4 linked regions of the Drosophila melanogaster genome follow. Changing the gene in region 1 together with any one later gene gives a genetic interaction. Each region holds a gene or a part of one and is shown on either strand. Other genes may lie near its edges.

The links.
Region 2: of bsk (region 1) and egr, changing one suppresses a phenotype caused by changing the other (phenotypic suppression), as found in Drosophila melanogaster (8 studies listed by BioGRID).
Region 3: of bsk (region 1) and Ras85D, changing one suppresses a phenotype caused by changing the other (phenotypic suppression), as found in Drosophila melanogaster (4 studies listed by BioGRID).
Region 4: of bsk (region 1) and Rac1, changing one suppresses a phenotype caused by changing the other (phenotypic suppression), as found in Drosophila melanogaster (4 studies listed by BioGRID).

Annotation. Positions count from the first base shown.
Region 1 is NT_033779.5:10,246,983-10,252,495, forward strand, and holds bsk (basket), read right to left. Parts: upstream 3,520-5,513; 5' UTR 3,299-3,519; intron 2,761-3,298; exon of another isoform or gene 2,278-2,760; 5' UTR 2,229-2,277; coding exon 2,113-2,228; intron 1,933-2,112; coding exon 1,803-1,932; intron 1,741-1,802; coding exon 1,543-1,740; intron 1,480-1,542; coding exon 1,215-1,479; intron 1,154-1,214; coding exon 870-1,153; intron 792-869; coding exon 666-791; 3' UTR 520-665; downstream 1-519. Other genes in the region: CG31717 (uncharacterized protein), read left to right, coding at 3,837-3,845, 3,914-4,519; Ror, read left to right, coding at 4,985-5,082, 5,293-5,445, 5,502-5,513. UniProt on the Drosophila melanogaster protein: Mitogen-activated protein kinase and key component of the c-Jun N-terminal kinase (JNK) pathway which phosphorylate and activate transcription factors involved in a wide range of biological processes including response to various stresses, cellular proliferation, differentiation and migration, and regulation of cell shape.
Region 2 is NT_033778.4:10,076,583-10,084,375, reverse strand, and holds egr (eiger), read right to left. Parts: upstream 6,011-7,793; 5' UTR 5,365-6,010; coding exon 5,194-5,364; intron 3,764-5,193; exon of another isoform or gene 3,682-3,763; intron 3,589-3,681; exon of another isoform or gene 3,452-3,588; intron 3,189-3,451; exon of another isoform or gene 3,051-3,188; intron 2,870-3,050; coding exon 2,744-2,869; intron 2,124-2,743; exon of another isoform or gene 2,054-2,123; intron 1,735-2,053; coding exon 1,409-1,734; intron 1,347-1,408; coding exon 1,242-1,346; intron 1,115-1,241; coding exon 1,050-1,114; intron 973-1,049; coding exon 883-972; intron 803-882; coding exon 438-802; 3' UTR 166-437; downstream 1-165.
Region 3 is NT_033777.3:9,510,037-9,515,022, forward strand, and holds Ras85D (Ras oncogene at 85D), read right to left. Parts: upstream 3,032-4,986; 5' UTR 2,752-3,031; intron 2,417-2,751; 5' UTR 2,256-2,416; coding exon 2,117-2,255; intron 1,961-2,116; coding exon 1,704-1,960; intron 1,646-1,703; coding exon 1,472-1,645; 3' UTR 525-1,471; downstream 1-524. Other genes in the region: Rlb1, read left to right, coding at 3,327-3,353, 3,411-4,775; mRpL47 (mitochondrial ribosomal protein L47), read right to left, coding at 4,833-4,983. UniProt on the Drosophila melanogaster protein: Ras proteins bind GDP/GTP and possess intrinsic GTPase activity. Plays a role in eye development by regulating cell growth, survival of postmitotic ommatidial cells and differentiation of photoreceptor cells.
Region 4 is NT_037436.4:1,300,334-1,304,571, forward strand, and holds Rac1 (Rac1), read right to left. Parts: upstream 2,351-4,238; 5' UTR 2,014-2,350; coding exon 1,435-2,013; 3' UTR 546-1,434; downstream 1-545. Other genes in the region: Acat2 (Acetyl-CoA acetyltransferase 2), read left to right, coding at 2,718-2,760, 2,855-2,976, 3,048-3,160, 3,215-3,644, 3,705-3,890, 3,947-4,231. UniProt on the Drosophila melanogaster protein: During various developmental processes, regulates changes in cell morphology in response to extracellular signals.

The sequences.
Region 1 (5,513 bases):
TTATTATTGTTCACCAACGCAATTCTTTATTATCAAACCCACATTTATTCGCGATGACACTTTGCTGTTATCGTTATCGCAGCATAGGAATAACAGTACGAAGTTGCCATCCCGATCTCTACACCGGTGAGAGTTGCCAGCCCGATTTACACGCCGGCTTATTCGATACTAATTGAGTTATCGAATGACCGTTTGTTTCGTTTAAATTTAGTATAACAGTTTTTTATTTAATCATCATTTTAAATTTTTTGTATTTTAGAAATGTTTTTATCGGTAACTAAATTATCTACTTTCCATATTCTTGTATGAAACAAAATTTTAAAAGTATGTATCGACTTTATATACCGAAATAATTTATATGGTTAAACTTTTCCATTTAAATTTTATGAATTTATACAAAGATTAAAATGTAATTAGCTCCTGAAATCAGGACAATGAAATGATTAAACTGGTATTTTAACGATTTAACTTAAGAAAGCGGGCTCAAAAAACAAGGATGAGTAAGAAATTACAAAGTTTCGCATATTGATTTTATTTTTTAATGGTTACTATATTTTTAAATACAATTTGAATATTTTATTTGTTGTAATAATTTAACAATACACGCCGTATTGTTGGTAAGCTTTAGTTTTCTTGTGACTGACTAAGGAGGAAAAAGTCGTTCTCTACCGCGTTCTATTATTTGTATTGTGTGCTTCGTAGTCCATGACTTCCTCATAGATTAGCTCCTTCCACTGCTCCACAGTGTGTTCCCTTTCGTCCACGCTGTGATCATATGGCTCCGGAGCGGGCTGCAAGAGATGCATGCAATTAAGCGATTAAAAACATTCAACATTCCTAGAAATCCAGTTTATGCCAGAATCACTTACAGCATCCACTTCCTCAGCATCATACCACACGTTGATATATTCATGCTTCAAAGCCTCGTCCACAGATATCCGCTGCTCTGGATCAATGACTAGCATTTTACTAAGAAGATTTCTAGCGTCAGAAGCCTTCCGGCGGCTATTCTGATTATTATCATTTGGAAACAAGCCATCGGGGAAAAGTCTATCAAATGAGTATCCAGTGTATCTAGGACGATTTTCCACATAGTTTCGGACGGTTGGCTGTAACCGTTGCATAAACGAGGGTGATGGTGTACCTAATTGCTCTGAAAAAACGTAAAAGTTGACAATCATAACGAGAATCAAGTTATTTAAGCAGCAACATACCAATAATTTTATTCCACTGATCTATATGATCCGTTCCAGGAAACAGCACACCGCCCCGTATCATTTCGCCCATAATGCAACCGACGGACCATATGTCCACGTTCTCTGTGTATCCCATGCCCAAAATGACCTCTGGAGCCCTGTAATATCGGGTGACCACATAGGGAGTCATCATAAAGGTAGTTCCTGCAGTACGTGCCAGACCGAAATCCAAAATTTTTAGAGTGCAGTCGGCCTTTACAACTATATTGGATGGCTTTAAGTCCTGCAAATGAAGTATTTCATATATTTCATACTCATTTTAAAGATGTATTCATACTGTACGTACTCTGTGAATAATTCCTGCTGAGTGTAAATGTTTTATTCCGCACAACATTTGATAAAGCAAATAGGACATTCTGTCGTGATCCAAGTCCATTTGGATGACCTGGCAGAGATTAGCGTCCATCAGCTCCATGACCAGGTAGACATCCTGAAACTCTTCCAAGTTCCTTTGCGGCGTAAAAGCATTAAGTAAGCCAATTATCTACGGATTAAATACCTATGTTTAGTAGAAATTTGTTAAAGTTAAAGGTGCAAGTTTCATACGTTTTTATGGTTAACAAGCTTCATTAGCTTGAATTCCCTATATGCTCGCTTGGCATGGGTTACATTTTGGAATGGTCGAGATAGTTTCTTAATCGCCACATTTTGCTGGGTGATAGTATCGTAAGCGGCGCTGAAATGCATTAAATTTGTTATTTTTTTTTTTCATATTCCAGCTAATCCCATCTAATCTAATCTAATATACAATGGAGCGTTACAAATATGACTTCATACTCATGCGAAATATCTTAATTGTTTAAGCCAAAAAATTGTTAAATGTATTATATGTAATAACATATTGATAACCACTTACCATACTATTCCTTGGGCACCTGATCCTATGGGCCGTAGATTAATGTACCGACTGTGGATGGTGAAGTTGGTGTCCCCCACCTCGACGGTGTAGTGTTGGTGCTGAGCTGTCGTCATTGTTCACTGATTTTATTTATTACTAGTTGAGAGCAAGGAGCATATCGGCCTTTTCAAGAGGGTAAATAAGATAAATCAATACGGTTTTACAGTGTGATTCTGTTTTATATAAGGAGCAAAGACGTCCGTATGTATGGCTCCATTCTGAATGGGTGGAGGCAGTTTTCAGACAACTTCGTCTGGAATTAGGGGGTAGGAAAACATTAACTTTGCCTGGCCTTATTTCGGCAGAATGTTATGGCCATTAAGTGGGTCTCTGTTGTCGCGAGGGGTGAAATTTACTGGCTAGTGTGTGGCGAGTTTGTTGCCAAACCACGAGCAAAAAATATCGAGTTCCTTCAAAAAGATACAATTGCATAACGCAGTCACTTATTTGAGCCGACTTCGAATGCCGAACCCCCTTTTCTATTGATAAGCATTTAAATGTTTGCCGAACACATGTCGAATATGGTTGGAAAAACACCCAACAGAAATAACCGAGCGTTTCGTTCTTTGAGCAAAGTGTTTAGCGGCACGCACAGGAAAAAAAACCGATTTAAAATCGATATGTCCGGCTTAAACATAAAAGTACGGAATGTTGGACCACAGCGATGTACATAGCGTTCATGTGTATGCATGCCGTTGCCTGTGTAAATATGTACATACACACGATTTGTATGCGGATGAAAACTGTAAACTTCTACTGGTATACATATGTGTAAGATGTAAGCCACATACATACATATGCACATACAGCCACACAAATGTGGGTCGATAATTTAGTAACTTTTCAAACTATCTCTCAGATAAAAGATATTCCCCGTATTCGTACATCGAAAAAGCGCTCGTTTGCGCTGCAGATAATAAAGCGGTCTACGCTTCGGGTAGTGTCGATATGTAAACGTTAGACATTTGCGCATACATAGGTACATACACTCTTTGGGCAGTTGACATTTTATGTTAAATATCAATAATTTTTTTCATAACCGGCACAACTATAATTGCTTTCAATCGATTATGGCACGTTTTGCAGGAGTGTTTCGGTGATTCGATATTTGATGTGAATGGAACGTAATAGAATATTTATTTACCATTTAACGAAGAAGTACAGAATTTCTTGTGAAAATATAAAATCGATTTTTTTTCTATTTTATTCTACACACTGGGCACTCAAAGTGGCGAGCATTTTAAACTATGTTAATGTTATTGAAATTTAAGAATCAACTATCTGCGGCACTTTCGCATGAGAATAATTGTACATGGATACAATACAATATACGAAAATCTATTGGAATATTCGATCACAACAAAGTTACTTAAATCGATGTGACCAGATTGCAGTAGGACCAAAACCAGAAACGGCTAAAGTCAGCCAATCGACTTTTGATTAAAATTAGGTTTAATTAGGGGTTTAAAACCTAATAAGTGTTAATAACTTACAAATAAACATATACAAATGCAATTTATTTAATAAAGACCAAAAACTAAGTTGGCGCAGTGTTTCATTTCACCGTTCCGGTCATTAGATATTCCTTTGCTCGACTTATCGAGTATACATCGAATGACGAATGAGAAATACTGTCATCACTAACAATAAATAAAAACAAAAGAGTTGAAATACACAGCGATATGAGGACGGTTGGTTTTTGGCCACTGATGAATCACATAAGCTGATAAGTGCTAATTTTAAAATCTTGTCCTTGCAGTCATCACCAGCACTTAAATACCTATTGGAGAAGGATGTTCAGGTGTCGAAGCATTTTGTAGTAGCCGTCTCCAATCTGTCGTTCTTCAAATCCCTGCGGATCCACAGCAGATTTCTGGAGATATCATGCGATGGAATCGCCTGGTTTGTCTCATGGATCGCCTTCATCTGGTTGCTCAGCTCGAAGAGCTTGTATCAAATGCAAGTCAATATGCTCTTCGGCCTGATACTCGACGTAGTGATCGTGGCCGTGCTGAAGGCGCTTGTTCGTCGCAGGCGACCGGTGGCCAGCAAGGATATGCTGACCATTGGACCCGATAAGTTCAGCTTTCCCTCAGGTCATGCCTCCCGGGCGTTCTTTGTGCTGCTGTTCTTCGCCAAGCTGTATCCGCTTCACATCATATTCCTAATGCCGGTCACAGCTTGGGCTGTAAGCGTGGCCATCTCACGGCTCATCCTCCAGCGTCATTATATTTTGGATATCTGCGCCGGTGCTGCCATCGGAGTGTTGGAGGCACTAATCGTGGGACTTCTGTGGATCAGCGAGGAAACTGCATTTAGCATTGTGGGCTTTGTTACCGAGGAAACTGTCGACAGCATGGAGTAACGATAAGTTACGATTGGAACACCGAAAGCAATAGATAATCTCTAGATCATTATGATAAATGCTTTAACCAAATACATTGTTAATGTTAAATTCATATTATTGTGTATTTCGCATAATTTTTCTACCCTTATTTCACTGTGAAAAGGGAAAGTGTACTTTAAATGAGACTAAAGTCGTTATACAACCATCTTTAATAAAATAAATAAAGCTTTTGAAGATATTTGGATTATTAATTATAAGAAATTATAGTGTAATTCCTTTGTTCCGAGTCATAGCACTCCTAAATATATCGATTCATCGATAAGGAGTCAACAACCCCAACGACTTCGTCGGGGGATGAAATGTTGTATGCCACATAAAGTTTTCGCGAAAGGATAAATACAAAAATATTTTCGGAATCGTTGGCATGTCAATTGGACTATTGAAATAACAAAAGGCTTCATATTGTTAGCTAGATTAAGCAATATGAACAAATACTCGGCATTTATAGTCTGCATTTCGCTCGTGCTTTTATTTACAAAAAAGGATGTGGGGAGCCATAATGTGGACTCAAGAATATATGGGTAGGTATTTTCACTGAAAGTTTTCCCAAGTTTCCGCAACAATAATTAGCGAAATACTTTTGTGTGGAATTAATAATTAATGAAATCATGAGCTTAACATGTTTTATATATTTTTAAATTACTAAACATAGTGTATACTCGAATGCAGAAATCTTTAGACGCCCTTATCCTTTTAATCCTTAAAAATGCAATATATTATTTGCCCTGCAGTTTCCAGCAATCATCAGGTATTTGCCATATTTACAATGGCACCATTTGTCGCGATGTCTTGAGCAATGCCCATGTTTTCGTATCCCCCAATCTCACCATGAACGATTTGGAGGAGCGATTAAAGGCAGCTTATGGAGTAATCAAGGAATCCAAGTGAGTATGATAACTATTTCAACATTCCGTTGCTAATGCCAAGTGCATATTTTCAGGGATATGAACGC
Region 2 (7,793 bases), on another chromosome or scaffold:
CACAAATAAAGCTGAGGGATATCTTTGAATGGCTCTTCATTTGAGATTTGAATTGAAAGCATTTGAAGCATTTTGAATCGAATTATACTAAGAACGAATATTCATTATTTAGAAGATTATAATATTTTCAATTGCAACTGGTAGCAATTGATTCAATTGATGTTTCTTAAACACGCTTACACAAGCGGGTAATAGCTACATATATTTTTATTCACTTTTTAGAGTCGAACGAGTATATACAAAATAAATATGATTTTCCTCCGTCTTCTGACTAATGCAGTATGCACGATTCCGATTGAGATTAGGTTTGGAGTGACTAAGACTAGGTACTACGAACTAATGGATTCACGCTGGCGATGAATCGCATTCACGAGCAGTCGCGGGGACAAAAGCTTAAACTGGTATTCCATCTTCTGACCGGGGATAATCTCTCCAATTTACACCTTGAAGATGCCAAAGTAGCTTCGGTTGTTTCCCTCCCGCAGAACTGCATTGCGATCGTTGTGAATGTCCTTCAGATGGATCCTCTCGTTTCGTTCCAGGTGGATCAGACCACTCGTGTGGCAGGTGTGCACCTTATGTGGCATGTTGGTGGGCACCGTGTTCAAGCACTGCAGGAATGGAGTGTCTCCTTGAAAGACGATAAATCCGTTCTGGTCGTGCGAGTTGTTGTAGCATATCTGGGCGTATACGTAATATAGGCCTGTATTGGTCACCGTCAAGACGCCATCGCGCGTTTGAAAGTGTCCCTGATAAGAGTTTCTCTCGTTATCATTTCCTATGTACATATCTCCATGGTAGCCTGAGAAATTCAAGAAGTGACTTCATTAGGTTGCCTGTAGTACTTGTATGTACACGCTTGACGCGGAAGCATCTCCTTACCCATACTTCCTTGGTGACGCCGCCTGCTGCTCAAGTGGAAATGGGCTGCTGGCCTCGAGTCCTCGGATCTGGCTGAAAGAAGAGATTCACCTGCAAATTAACAGAGGTGCGAATAGAGATTTGGTATTCGATTTTTGCCAATTGTTTCGCTTTTCTACACTACACACCTTTGCGGACTAGGAGGTGGCGATGGCGGGAATGCATTCTGCGACGGTGGTGAAGTGGTGCAGGGCTTCAAGTAAAAAGAAAATGTATACATATGTGTTTCAGTTACGCAGTTAACTATCTATCTTTAACCCATAGCATATAACTTCATTAATGGTTTTTCTTGCCTGTTTTCAACGGAACGTTCTACTTACCTCTCTTTGGAAGTTGCCTCATTGGATGACTTTTCCTGAAGCTCTGTGTGATTTCCTTGAATATTCTGCTCCTCATTGCGTACATCGGCAATCGAGCGAGATTTTCTGTGAAGAGGAAAAGCAGAGGCTTAATACGATAAATCCCTGAAAATTTCATCCGTGCTCACCTCTCCTGCTTCTTTTTGTGGGCATTGTAGCTGGTAAAGTCATCGAACACATTGTCATCATTTGAGGCTGAGGATGCACTGTCCGTCTCGCCCTCGCCCTCAGCAGTGGTCTCAGATGTGGGCGTGGTGCCGGTATGTGCATTGTTGAGTTTATTTAACATATCGGTGTAGTCCTCGTAGTCTGCGCCAACATCATCCACAGAGCTATAGCTAACGTCGTCGTCCTCGTCGTCCGCAATGGAATCCAGACCATCGCCATCGTCGTCGTCCTCCTCATCCGTGAGGCCATCCACCTTTTTTGGATAGTCGATGAGGGCATTCTCGTACTGCAACGAAGGGATGGGCATCAGCATTTTGGGTCAGAAGACTTGGCCAAGTACGTGACTGCAGCTGGCACAGTCCTGGCACATATCTCACATCCATTTGGGACGTTCATTTTTAGACACACGCCCGCAGCACAGGCTGTTTCGTCATCATCCTAATTGATGGCGCCTCGCTCAAAAACATGATACTCGTATACATATACTTGTGTACATCATACATATATTTAAAAGCGAAGGAAACTCTCAAGAGAATTGGCACCACAGATGCCCAGCCATCAAAATATAAATAAATCTTAAAATCTTAAAACCATCTCTGGCCATTAGGCCATTTGATGAGATTCGATCAATCGTCACATACAGCCAAAAGCGATCGCTCGCCTTGAACGACTATATCTACTGATAGAGCCTAGTATTTTTGTTGAATTATTGGGGCTTTTACCTTTTGTCACTTGGGGATTTGTATCTCATAAATTACGTGAACTGGCTGGCGCCTCATATTTGAAATGAGTGTTTCCTTGCGGAAAGAGACATTATAATTCAAATAATCTATCACAATTTTCTATGTGCCTTTGGCCAAGCAGCTAACAAAAAAAAATGAAACAAATAACAGATGAAACAGCGTCGAAATTATATTTTAGCACATAATTCTATAAATATTTTTGTATGTCCCACACAATAACCACATATTACGTCTGGTCATTTTTTTGAGGCATTCTTTTTCAAAAACAGGCGCATGGCTTACCGACTGTGAGATACCCTAGCCAGAGTTTGCCATCATAAAATGCAAATTACCCTTTAGGCAAAAAGAAAACTAAACATAATAGATACTCAATAACAAAAGTTCGATATACCCTCATTAAAAACTCAAGTACCAGCCTCAAGGAATAACAATCATTTCCGACTTTGTAAACAATTCGAGGTATCTGTATTTGCCCGGGGCAAATGTTACAGCCCCTGCCCCATCGCCGAGTACAAATATTGATGCTCGAAAGTGATTTACGCAATTGCTCACCTCCTTTTGGAACTCGTCGAACTCGTCCAGATAGTTTATGCCCAAACGCTGCTGGAGATTATCGACGACTCGCTTCAGGCTCTTCAGCTCCTTGTCCAGATGCGATACACGCGTTGTCTGCCAGATCTGCAAGATAAGATAATTCAATTGTTACACACTCATTCAGGCTCGTTTCTAATCATCCGCTCATTAGCAATTGGGCAATCAATTTAACGTAGCCCCAATTAAACATCTATAGCTGGTGCTAAGGCCCGGCACATCATATAACACCCAGTGCCGCGAACTTTTGACACCCGAAAAATATATAAAAACTAACTGAACAAACTGATAGAGGCGAGACGAGAAAGATTTCGTGGGGAAATACGGCGGGGTACGTACGATCGCCACTCAGCCACATAATCTGCTTAATGGATCATTAACATTCGGGCCGAGCAGAGGCCTTATATACGGACACTTCTCAAGTCTCGACTGGCAGCCGAAATCGAAAAGAATGGCTCAACTTAAGCCACTGTACGCGCAGACGGGGAAATATACACATGTACATACATGTAGGTACACACAACAACTTGTACTGAATTCTTGTATAAATTATGGACTTTACGCAGACCCAAGAAACTTGTTTAAGTTTCCAGTGAACCACTTTCCATTAGAGCTTATCGGCGATCAGTAGATCGATCGCAGCGCCTGCAGTTTGTCACTTTCTTAGAGGGCCCCAAATGATGAGGGTTACTTTGTACGAATGTCAGTGAAATTGAATTAAACAACGAAAAATGCTTCATGGCTTAACGGAGATTTATGAGGAAAACCGAACTTGAGGCCCACGTCAGTGGCTGAAGCCAATCATTTACAAGTCAATTGTCAATTGTACGATTTCCGTTCACTTAAGCCAAAGTTGAGTGGGTCATGGAGGAGTCCTGGGTGAGGGGGGGGGAAATGGGGGTGGGAGAGAAGGACCAGATTCAAGTCCACAAACTTAATCTTCTGCAATTCAAATCCGGATTTCAGCGAGCACACTCATTCGCAAAGTTATCAGGGAAAAACATGACACAACAACCCAGTCGAAGATTTATCGAATGCATAACAGAACGGACTCAGTGGCATTTAAATCGGTTGAACAAAAACAAAAGGGAAGAACAGACATGTACCGATAAACATTTCTCTAGCATCTGCATCCGCTTTATTTGGATTAGCTGGATCATTAGGAACCGATTTGGCCTAAAGACGTGTCGGTGATGACATCGCTTGATCAGCCAAGAAACCGCCGTTTTTCCCGCTCTAAATATAGTTTCATGCCAAATTATAGTTAACCTATCTGCGACGGTCACGGATCATAAAGTCTGTTTTCATTTCAATTTATGCATCCGCGGAATTTCGTCTTTAATTTGGCATCAACAAAGACTTTGTGACAAACAGCTTTATAAGCCGAAGCGTGCCAAAGGTTAAATATTCATTTTTAGATTGCGATTTCGGGGGTGTCTATACACATACGTTGTTAAAGTCCAATTTGCATTTATATTTATTCGCATTTTATTTTGGCAAGCTACTGAAATAAACATTTCCGAAAAATAGGAGTCTGTTCAGAGTCTAGAAGGCGGTTCATGGCTGAATGGAATCTCTCTGTTTTTATGCTTTCATTACTTTATTGGTGCAATCTGTTTTCCAGATAAAACTAACTGTCGTTGTGATGGTTTTTGGAGAGATAACTAAGCAAAATTATAAATTAAACTACCAAAATAAAACACTAAAAACACAATAAAACACAAATTCTACAAAAGTCTAGTTTAAGAATCAGTGTAATACCTTTACACTCGTTTCGAAACAGTCATTAAAACGGCCATATAATCATGATTGGCCCACTTTGGCGCCCAAAATATCATTAAACAACATAGCCCATAACAACTCATTCCTATCTATATTCTGGGGAAACTCCCACCAATAACTGATATACCCACACCTTTGGAATTCCGACGAATCATTAATCGCACACAACAAACAAAAAAAAAGGCATTCAAGTATGGAATAGCTATTTCAATTTGGAGGTGACTACTTTAATCTTTTTCAAATTATATTCATTAACTAAATCTATTCAGCACATTTGACGATTTTAGTGTGCTAAAAAACATTAAAAACATAAAATGCGACTGAAGAGATTGTACGACGCTCAAACACACATAAAATATGTTATACTATTTATTTATTTGTAATTATTTCAATACTAAGTATGATTTGTGCCACCTTAATTAAACATCTTTAAGCATGGTTTGTTATCTTAAGTAGGCAGATAGAGACGCAATGTTATCAATTAATAGCATCTTAATGAAAATTTTGTAGTACGATTTCATTCAGTTCAGAGTCTAATTGGTGTGTTTAGAATCGCGATAGTCGATCCAAATGGGCAATAATACCTGATTGGGCTGCTATTGGGTAAATGATTGTGAAGGAAAACTTACCGTTAGTGCGAGAATGGCAACGACCAGCCCCAGACCGATGAACCCCAAAACCAGGGGGATCAGCTGGCGGGTGCGTCGCTGGGCGGTCGCCGTGCTGGTCGCTTTGGCCGGAAAACCATCATCGTTGGCACTCGTTGGCGTTATAAACGGCTTGAGGGTCTCGGCAGTCATAATTGATGAACACTGGGGATCTTAGAGCAACCGGGGCCTCCAGATGCTGATGCTGATTCTGTTGATAATGACGACGATGATGATGATGACGATCTTGCCCACCCACTCAAGGGCACTCGACAGCTGTTTCCAATCGAGCTTTGTCGCACTTTATATGAACACACTCTATGTATTTAAGATACTACACGAGCACACAGAACAACCTCACAGACAGCATGAGATGATAAGCTGCGACATCTATATAGATAAACCCCTCGGGCTGCTGATGGTGCCCTTTTCAGATTGTATTACCACACTTGTTTTGTCTACTGCTTGTTTTTCTCTTCCGCGATCGGCAATTAGCAAAAGAAAAGCGCGAAAACAAGTTTCTCAAGATATTTTCTAGTTTTATCAGTTCTTGTTTGCGATAAAGGCACAGCGAAAACCAAAAAAAAAAAAAAAAACACAACACACAGTGGACGAGTTGCACTTATGTATTTTTAGTAATTTGCCCGATGGCGAAATTCAATCTTGGTAAGTAGTTAACTGAAACGGATAGCTTTTTTTCTTCGCTATCATGCACGCACGCGCTTGCTTGGGATCTCTGATTTACCGGTTTCTTTTCTCACTTTAAACGTCCGTTCGCGTCGACGATTCGAAAGAGAATGAATTTGAACTGAGAACGGGAGCGTGAACTGAGGGAAAACGAACCGAGCGGCACTTGATTTCTCACGTTCGAGCAGGCAGGCGAGCAAGAGGGACAACGGATTGGCACCGTCTCCCTCGCTCACGTGGCGAGGATGCGCGGCATACTTAAGGGCGCCTGCGCTGTTTACTTTGTGTAATTAATTTTTGGCAAGGTTCTCCCGGGGTGGTGTTTTGGTGATACAGTGGGCTCTGGCTAACAGGAATTAAATTAATTATTATATTTCTACAATTTTACATGTACATATGTATATGTAGATACGATTTTTATTTATTATAACAAATTATTTGTATGAAACTCATAATCATGGTGTGCATAAGAAATATTTACAAAAATATGATTTATAATATGATATAACACTAAATAATAGTTCATATAGTCTAAAGTTGTTAACAATTTAACAATGTTATCATAATTTCAATATCAAATTGAAATGCTCAAATAACGAACTTTAATAACATTTATCAAAAGAGAAGAAAATAGTGTATCTAATTTAGAATATTGGATGCCATATTGAAGACCATCTCATCGTTGTTTTTAGCCAAGACAGACTGTACTTGGTTCCGATTTCCCTTGCACATATGGCGATCATAAGTAGCAAAGCGTGTTTGACTTTTTGCGCAGTGTTTTCCACTGCTTTTATTTCTTTTTATGTGTTATGTGCACTTAAAACCTCCCCCTGTGATTTATAGGGGTTGCTCGATTGCTTTTTGAAATCGGCACCACTGTAAGCGGCTTGGCTTCGCATCCCCGGGTTTTCGCTTCATTTTCTTTGTGTGGCTGCTTTGTTCGAGCTCCCTTCATGACACTGACATGGAACAGATCCCCGATCTTCGATTCCCGAGCCGCAGCTAATTGAGTTCCGAAAAGTGGCGGATCGTTGACAAACCCATAGATAAGCCAAATGAACTTTTAGCATTTCATTAAAATCGTATTTATTATTACTTAGACCGACGATCGGGGTCTGTCAGCGCCGTGCCTAAGTACGGGTTCTAATTACGGGTAGCGGGGTAGCCATAAACCTAATGCTGATCCGATCCGATCAGCCACCGTCGCGACAACTAGTCTGCCGAACCGGCTGCCAAACAGACCCGTATCGTAAATCCGCCCAAGAGTGTCGTCATTCGGCAGAGATGCAAATGTCGGCGTTGGTCAGCTAATTAGTTTCTAATCGTCTGCGACAAACAGGTAACCACAGGTAGAACTGCTCAGGCCGTAAGAGCGGGGATCGGATGGCACACGCTTCCGGTGCACTTCTTAACCCATTAGTCGTTATCTGTTTTCGCATTGTGCAAGACCACATTTTTATTTATAATTTTCAATGTTCGGAAATGGTAAATCAATGATTTAAAATTATATACATATACATATGTATGTACATTTGTATATACAATAGTTTTTGAAAAGCTTCTATTACTTTTTTGTGTTTTGTATCTTACTTTTTTGTATTACATCATTTGTTTTATATAAATTCAGTTGTGAAAAGCTTAATTAATTATGGAATAAATCGGACGAATTGTTTCAATCTAAGCTCTGAGACCTTTTTGGTTTTATGCAGTGTTAATGAATCTGATTCAATGATCTGTGCAAACATATATGTACATATATCAGCATTGAGCTGGTATGTCGATGTACATGATATTGTAAGATCTAGATATATCACGTGCTTGCACAGAGGGTTAACCATCAGCCTCACTTAATGGAGCACGGCCAAGAAGCAAGACGATCTCGAGGCGATTTTTCA
Region 3 (4,986 bases), on another chromosome or scaffold:
GTTTTGTAGTTCTTGCAATATTCGTAGTAGTACACACCCGGAGCGGCGTCCGCGAAAACAAAATGGCGACCGCGTCAATCGACTTTTTCGCCAAATGTTCTTTTCTATGCTAGCGTTATGGCTTACCTTTTGATGTTGGCTGTGCTCTTAATACTGGTAATATTTCTATTTTGCTGCTTTCGGCGTAGTAAATTTTATACAATGAACAAACGCTTGTGACAAACTACAGTTTCCGAGATCAATAGAAAACCGTACAAAAGTCTATGTTAGAGTTGACAGTGATACGATGACAGCACATTCATCGATGGTTTGATATTTGGACGTGTCTCAGATTTCTATCGACTAGACATCGCCGATATTCGAAAATGCTCTTCGAATTATCGAAATGTAGGCATACTGCAATTTACGCGCGCAACGCAAAAATTCAAATAATAGAATATTTGGCTCAACAAGACAGGAGACTTTAGATGGAAAAATAGAATCCACAAAAGCAAAACTATGGAATAACTAAAACCACTTTTCATAAATAGTACACACAATCGATTTATTTCGTTTCTTTTTGTATGGCAAAAATTAATACAAAAAATTAAATATTAAATGTATGTATGTATGTATAAAAAGCTTAAAGCAAACTATATAATGTAAATTTAATTGGCTGTTTGTTTTCTCTCCGATTGATCTGTCAGTATGGTAAGTAGAAAGAAAGGCAAATCTCAAGAACTCATACGGATTATAATTTCATCATCGTAGCACCACAGATATGTGTTTAACCGAACATAAATCTAGTTTGGGGCTAGCGAATTTACTCGTTTGTGCGAAAGTTGCTGTGAGCTTATCGGCTTTTGCTTGTTTGTTCTCTAATGATGAATACTAATGGAATTCTGCTCGTGCGTGTGTGCGAAAAAAGATTACATTTATGTATGACTGTCGGGTTGAAACCAATAGATAACAGGGCTGTAAAAATACACAATATTTGTTTACATCGCGTTTCGGTTTTAAGCACGGAGTATCTGTTGAAGTACAAACAACATAGAATCAAGTTAAGTGCTGGTTGAAAACAAACGGATATAGCAGCTGAACCAAGGCAGTTACAACAGTATTCATAGTTTTTATGTAGAGGTACATATTCATTTTCATTTTCGATTTGCTTCGTTCGTTTTTGTTTGCTTGTTATTGTTAATACTCTTAAAAGGGCGCCTCGCAGCCTTTCAAACGACACAAAACACACACATTCACAAAATCATTTCGACGTACATAAAACTCTAGTTACTTAAATTAATTACAATTTCTCTTCTTTTATCTGACAATTGCACCGACCAACACGCTCCCACATGTGTGTGTTTTTCGCATTGTGTGTCCAAAATGGACAAACCATCGAGCCCAGGACGATCGGCGATTCGCCGACGCACATACAGACAAACAGGCGACATTTGAAGAAATAAAAAGTGAATAATAACCAATGCGTGGCCGTTTAGAGCATTTTACATTTAAATCTACGATTCGGCTTGTTCATTTTGCGGCCCCTCCGCCCCTTGTTGTCCTTGTCCTTGCGGATTTCGCGCACCAGTGTGTAAAATGCATCGTCCACGCCCATGCGCGTCTTGGCGGATGTCTCAATGTATGGAATGCCGTACTGTTTGGCCACCTGAGAACAACCATAATTAACGGAATGTTCGCTCGGAACTCTGAAGGCCGGTACTCACCTCTCTTGCCTGCTCGTTGTTAACGTTCCACGAGGCCAGATCACATTTGTTGCCCACCAGCACCATGGGCACCTCTTCGGCATCCTTTACGCGCTTGATCTGCTCACGGTAGGTGCCGATATCCTCGAAGGACTTCGCACTGTTGACGGCAAAGACCAGCAGGAATCCCTCGCCAGTCCGCATATACTGATCCCGCATGGCCGAGTACTCCTCTTGGCCGGCGGTGTCCAGGATGTCCAGCAGGCAGGTCTCTCCATCTGCAGGGGAATATAAAATGCATTTGAATATCGCAACTTCTTAAGGTCTCTTCTAGTATAAACGGGAAACCAAACCAGCGAAAGGGTGCAGAAATCTCTAGAGTATTTGGACCTGTGCAGCCCTAGCTTTGCCAGATCTAAGTACATATAACTCACCGATAACCACTTGCTTTCGGTAAGAGTCCTCGATTGTGGGGTCGTACTCGTCCACGAAATGGTTCTGGATTAGCTGGATGGTGAGCGCGGACTTGCCCACGCCTCCGGCTCCAACGACGACCAGTTTGTATTCCGTCATTTGGCTGTGGCGTCCGTTTTCGATTTGCCGTAGTCAAATGTCACAGTAACAGTCTCTTTCTCGCGATCGATGCTTACTCTCTTGTGAAGCGCCCGCAGATGCAGTCTCTCTCTCCGTACGCTTGTTGCGTGTGTTTGTGTGGGTGACTGTGCGTGTATGGGCTGCAAGTGGAGTAAATTATTAATTAAGATTGATTAAAATAAATTAAACGCATAATTAGGCAGGAATTAATGCACGTCACTGAGTCACTGTGACTAGGCGCTTACTCGCACAAACACACACGCACCACTGCATGCACACAGCCAGACGGGCAACACAAAAAAAAATGGGAAAAAGAGATCAATGACTCAAACTAAAATTAAAACCCATTCGCTCAATGCAAATTAGTTAGTCTCCCCCATAGCCGAGTTGTTAACTAGGTGAATTTGCTAATTCGGCGGCGTTGTTTTTAGCCCTTTTCTTTATTATTTTTCTTTTGCCTGCCGGGGCTGCGGACCTTCTTTGTTGCTGCCTCTTCAGCTAGCTCCTCCTTGTTTTTCCGCTCCGCTCCTCTCTATCAATACTCTGCCTCTCTCTTCTCGCGCGCGGCGCAGTTGCTGGGCACGTTTCACGTCACTTTCGCGGCTAACGGTGCGACAGGCGGTACTCCTCGATGGCACCAATTTAATTGCCGTGCGGTAATTGCAATTAACAGCGCAGGAAAACAATAAATCCGTATGTGAAATGAAGATGAAATCTAGGCTGTACGTAGCTGTGAAGATACTAGAGCTGGCACCAAGCCGATGGCACTATCGATAGCGATGGCTGCATTCTGGCCGGCACCATCGATGGACTTGCAATAGCGATTGCTATATGAAAACTAATCTAAAGAGGTGGATGCACTTCAGTCGACTCTCTATAATTTGCTTAAACTAATAAATGATTTGATCAATACAGCTTTCTGTAAAAACTGGCAGACGCTTTCTGCTTTTAATAATTGTTAATTTAAGTTCAACGGGCTGGCATCACCGTTTCTTAGCACGGACTCAAGCCTGAGTCTATTATTTCAACCACCACTGTAACGAAAACAGCATGGACAGATTGAAATTCAATAATTTGGTAAATAAACGATTTTATTTAAAATTATAGAGTTTTAATTAAAAAGAACTTTTACAGGTGATATCCAACAAGAAGGTCATTCAAAAGGCACGCGCCCAGACCATCGCCAAAATCGTACAAAAGCTGCGAAAGACAAAAGAGGCTCTGGCCAAAAATCCAGACAGTGAAAAGGAAAAGATTCGTTTACGCAAGAACACAGAATGCCTGGCCCAGTTGAAGGCTCTAAAATATATGGATATGGTACGCCAGTCGCTCCTGCAGGAGGGCACAAATCCCAATGCGGTGATTGCTAACGAGCGCTCCACGCCGGATGAACTGGGCATTGCCATGCTGCGGCTAAACAAATTGATGCACGGACTGGTGGACAAGTTTGTGGAAACCTTGAAGCTGAGCACCACCGATAAGGAGGCCAAGTGGCGTGAGGAGATCCTAGAGACGAGCAAGCGAAGGGCCAAAATAGAACGCACTGAGGAGCGGAAGAGGAAGCGCAAGGAGCTGAAGGAGCAGAAGGCCCAAACCAAAAACCGACTGGAGTGGTTAGAGCAGAACAAAGTGGTGGATGCAGATGTTAATGGAGCAACTGCGGAAACGCCCACTCTTCAAGTCAGCAAAGTAAATGATCAGGAAATACCACAGTCTTTTGCAAAAACTGAAAATTCTCCAGTTCTCAAAGTCAAAAAGGAAAAGACACCTAAAACACCAGCCAAAAAAGAAAGAAACCTTCAGAAAAAACAAGCTTTTGATGAGCAGATCAACCCGGAGATAACTAAGCTCAGTTCCAAAAAGCAGAATTTAAATACAATCAAGGAGAATAATGCAGAGCCACAACTAGAAGGCAGACCGAAAGAATCTAAGCCAAAACCCTTCGAGAAAAAACCAGCCAGAGAGCAGAAGCCTAAGCCACGATTAGAAAGGCAGCCAAGTATCGATGAAGAAGAACCACAACTTGACAATAATCGTCCCACACATGTCGTTGATCCCTTCTTCATTACGGAATCAGGCCAGCCCTACTTGTCCAGCGCCGTGGTTCTTTCCGGGGACAATGACAGCGAAGCTGATGAGGAACAGGCACCGCCGCCAGTCAAAAGGTTCCGCAATGAGGATCGACGGTCGAACACATATCGGGAGAAACCGGAAAGACAGCCAGAGTTCAAAGCGAGAAAGCCAACTGATGATCGTCATCCCTCCTGGCTGGCTAAGCAACAGCAGAAACCAATCATTGGTGATTTTAGAGGCAAGAAGATTACATTCGGCGACGACGGCCAGGCGGCGGAAATTATTGCTCCAAGTATCAATCAATTAACCGCTACTGCTGCTCCTTTGCCCACCGATGGCATGCACCCGTCTTGGGTGGCCAAACAGAAGTTTAAGCCGAAAATTGCCGCGTTTCAGGGCACAAAGATTAAGTTTGACGAAGATTAAAGATGATGTCAATGGTATTTTGTTGTTTTAATAACTAAATAACTGCAGCTTTGCTGCTCACACGCCAACTTTGGGCACATAGTGACCACGAATCTTGTCCTCGTTGCGCAGCTTGTCCACGTTGACATCGGGGAACTGGCGACGCAGCACATCCAGATCGAAATTGGGGTTGCGACGCAGGATCATCATGACTTCGTTGCGGGAGCGGCTG
Region 4 (4,238 bases), on another chromosome or scaffold:
ATTTTAGAGTTTAGTTGCAACATGTTCAATAAAATGCTTTTATTCTATTTACTTCTATATATTTATATTTTATTTTCATGCTAACCATAAATACTTCTTTCTCGGTGTAGAACCAGAAGTGAGGAGCTCCGGGAATCGGTTATTTTGTTTCAAGCTGATTTAGATTATTTTCGGTTCTCGACTTTCGCCGAGATAAGCAAAATAATTCGTTCTTCGGCGTTGATAAGTCTGTCTCCGTTGTGGGTACAGTGAGCACTCGAGCGAGGGCCAATGTCGGCCATTGACGAATGGAGTTTGATAAACAATCAAGAATATTTGAATGCGTGAGCTATGTAAGTAAGTATATGTGCTGGTGCTGCGAAGATCTTGGAGAAGAAAAGAGCACTCAGATATCTTTTCGATGAGTGATTCGACTTAGCTAAAACTAGTTTTACGCTCTTTCCCACTCATAGTTCCCTAATATGCGCAGATCGTTTTCTAGTATTCACTACATATGATATGTCAGAAGAATATAAGAAACATATCACAATAAATAAACCAAAACTCCTTTTATTATGCTTTATTGATTTCCATTGAAATAGACACATTTATATAATTATCTTGGCTTCGTTCATGTTTTTTGTTTTTCTTTTGTTTCTTGAATATCTGTCGTTTAAAATACAAAGTATTCAAAGTTGCTCAGTTTGATGCCTTTAATTCAGTACATAGTATACGAAGGACTTTTCATCTTATACATACATGTATATATATTGATAGTTCCTGGATCTAGCAAAAGTTTAAAAAGTTGTTACTCGCCCGCGCCGTCGCTTCGATATCCAACAACATCTAAATACAAGTATGTAATAATGTAAGTGTAATTGCAATGGAACGTTTACTTTACTGACTCAATATCCTGATCCCTTCCGCAGGACCTTCGATCAACATCTATGCGACATCTATGCTTTATGCTCATTATGCGGCTATTCTCGTACTTGTCTCACATTTTTTTTAGGTTTTTCGTTTGTTTTTTTTTTTTTGTTTTGTTTTGTTTTTGGTTTTACCTCAGTTTTACAACATTAATTTTAATTACAAAAGTTATTAAATAATACAAAATACAGTTAGAGTTTACAGTTCTCCATTTCGTCTAGAAACATCTCGCTTTTAACTTTTAGTTGAAATTAATGCACGAATAAACAGAATAATTGGATTATGAATTACAGAACACTCGAAACAAACTCAGAACTCGGAAACGAAACAAAAGCAAGAGTTGGGTTGGGTTGGGTTGGGGGAATCCCCCCCTAGCAGCGGAAATTAGTGGCAAAATTGTAACAAAGAAACTACGGATGAGCCATTTAGCCTGGCCACGCTTAGGTTACATAATGGTTTTATAGTTAATAATATTACGTTTAAGCAGAGTCCGTCGGTGGAACACCACCGACCAACTGTCTAACTCTTTTAGAGCAGGGCGCACTTGCGCTTGGACTTGGGCTGCAGCACGGGGCACAAAACCGACCGGATGGCCTCGTCGAAAACGGTTTTCAGACCCTTCTGCGTCAGGGCCGAGCACTCCAGATACTTGACCGCTCCGATTTCCTTGGCCATGGCCAGGCCCTGCGGATAGGTGATGGGCGCCAGTTTCTTGTCCCTCAGCTTTTCGATTGTGTTCTTGTCGTCGCGCAAATCCAGCTTGGTGCCCACCAGGATGATGGGCGTGCTGGGGCAGTGGTGGCGCACCTCCGGATACCACTTGGCCCGCACGTTCTCGAACGATGCCGGATTCACCAGCGAGAAGCAGATGAGGAAGACATCGGTCTGGGGATAAGACAGTGGCCTCAGTCGGTCGTAGTCCTCCTGCCCGGCCGTATCCCACAGGCCCAGGTTGATGGGCTTGGCGTCCACCATCACGTTGGCCGAGTAGTTGTCGAACACGGTGGGTATGTACTCGCCGGGAAAGGCATTGGTCGTGTAGCTGATCAGCAGGCAGGTCTTTCCCACGGCTCCGTCGCCCACGACGACGCACTTGATCGCCTGCATGGTTCGATTTCCTCGACTTTCTGGACTGGAGTGCTATGTGCCTAGAGATTGGAGATTGAAGATTGCAGATTTCTGATTGCGGGGGTGCTTCTTCTTCAGGCGTTTTTGGTTCTTTTTGGGGCGGCGGCGGAGGACTGTTGCTTGCGTGGGTCCTTTTGCGGGGTTATCTCTGGAAGCGCGACTCCTTTTCCAGTGCCTTGTGGTCCTCGGGGCGACTGATGATCGCGCCTTACGTTCTGGGCCTCTTTAACTCGCGTTTTGTGCGTTAATTTCCCTAATTTTCTCAACAAAAAAAGTAAATTTTCTGTGTACTGCAGTGTGACCGCGGCTGGACTGTTCAAATTTACCATGGGAAAGCTGTAAAATACTAAAACAAATTAAAACTGCATTGAAATGGTCACCCTAAGATTTGTAAATTATTTCAAGGCTTCGTCCTTAAAGCAAACATAAAACCCTTAAGTTTCGCATTTACTTATAATTAAATCCGAATTACAAAATATATAATTTCATTGTCTTCCTGTTTATGTCAGTGATTTGAAGTGAGAACAAGCTGTTTTTAGTAGGGCTGGGCCCCAGAAGTGCAGCTTCTGGGCTTTGGCTGCACCTGGTCACACTTCTGGCAGCAAATAATACAATTTCGAAAATTAGAATTTATTTGCTGCTCAATAGCCAAGTCAATAACACCTGTTCCTTGCCCATCCAGAATGTCTGACGTGTTCATCGTGTCCGCCGCCCGCACGCCCATTGGTAAAACCAAGATAAATCGGCTGCACCATACACGATAACCACATTCTAATTGGAAACTTTCTCTTCGTGTTTGTCCAATCTGAAAAATCAACAGGTAGCTTCAATGGAACGCTTTCTAAACTGAAGGCCTCCGACCTGGGCAGCGTGGTCATCCAGGAGGTACTCCGGCGGGCGAATGTGGAGGGCCAGGAGGTCAACGAAGTCATCTTGGGCCAGGTGGGACCCATATCATAACTGTTTCTCCTCCTATCTTACCGATCTATTTGTTATGTAAATATCTTTGTTAGGCTCTAAGCGCCGGTCAGGGTCAGAATCCAGCACGTCAGGCTTCACTCAAGGCGGGTCTGCCCATTCAGGTGCCAGCCTACGGCATAAACATGCTATGTGGTTCCGGCTTAAAGTGAGTTTGTCCCGTACAATTCCGTACATTTACAATGGTTTTTACCATTTCCAGAACTGTAGCGCTGGGTTACCAGGCCATCCGCTCGGGAGACGCACAGATTGTTGTGGCAGGAGGTCAGGAGAGCATGTCCCTGGCTCCACACGTCATGCATCTGCGGCAGGGCGTCAAAATGGGTCCGGGCACTATGGTGGACTCGATGATCCACGACGGCCTAACCGATGCCATGGAGAACATACACATGGGCATCACTGCCGAGAATCTGGCCGATAAGTATAACATCAGTCGTGAGGCCCAGGATGCCTATGCCGTGCTGTCGCAAAATCGAGCCGAGGAGGCCCAAAAAAAGGGTTACTTCGACAAGGAGATTGTGCCCGTGGAGATCAAGGATCGCAAGGGTACGACCACATTCAGCAAGGATGAGTACATCAAGGCGGGCAGCACCGTCGAGGGTATACAGAAGCTCAGGGCAGCCTTCAAAGAGGTGGGTCTAAGATAAATACAAGAAGAGCGAGAGTTAACCCACTTTCTCTTGCTTATGTAGGGCGGCTCTATAACCGCTGGCAATGCCTCAGGCGTCAACGACTCCGCTGCTGCCGTACTACTGATGTCCGGCGAGGAGGTGGCCAGGAAGGGTCTTAAGCCGCTGGCTAGGATTGTGGGCTGGACTCAGAGTGGCATTGAGCCAAAGGTGATGGGACTGGGACCAGTCACAGCTGTGGAAGCATTGGTAGTTACACGGAAATTCCACTTCTATACATGCTCCTAAGTTTTCACATTTTTCAGCTTCAAAAGATTAACTGGAAGCGTGAGGAAGTGGATCTTTACGAGCTGAACGAAGCATTCGCCGCCCAATCACTGGCTGTCCTGCAGGACCTGCAGCTGGATGCTCAGAAAGTAAATGTCAATGGCGGTGCCATTGCCCTGGGCCACCCGATTGGAGCTTCAGGTGCCCGTGTCTTGGTCACTTTGCTCTATGCGCTGGAGCGCACCGGTGGAAGAAAGGGAATCGCATCGCTCTGCATCGGTGGCGGCATGGGAATCGCCCTGGCCGTGGAGCGCCTCAGCTAGTCTTAAT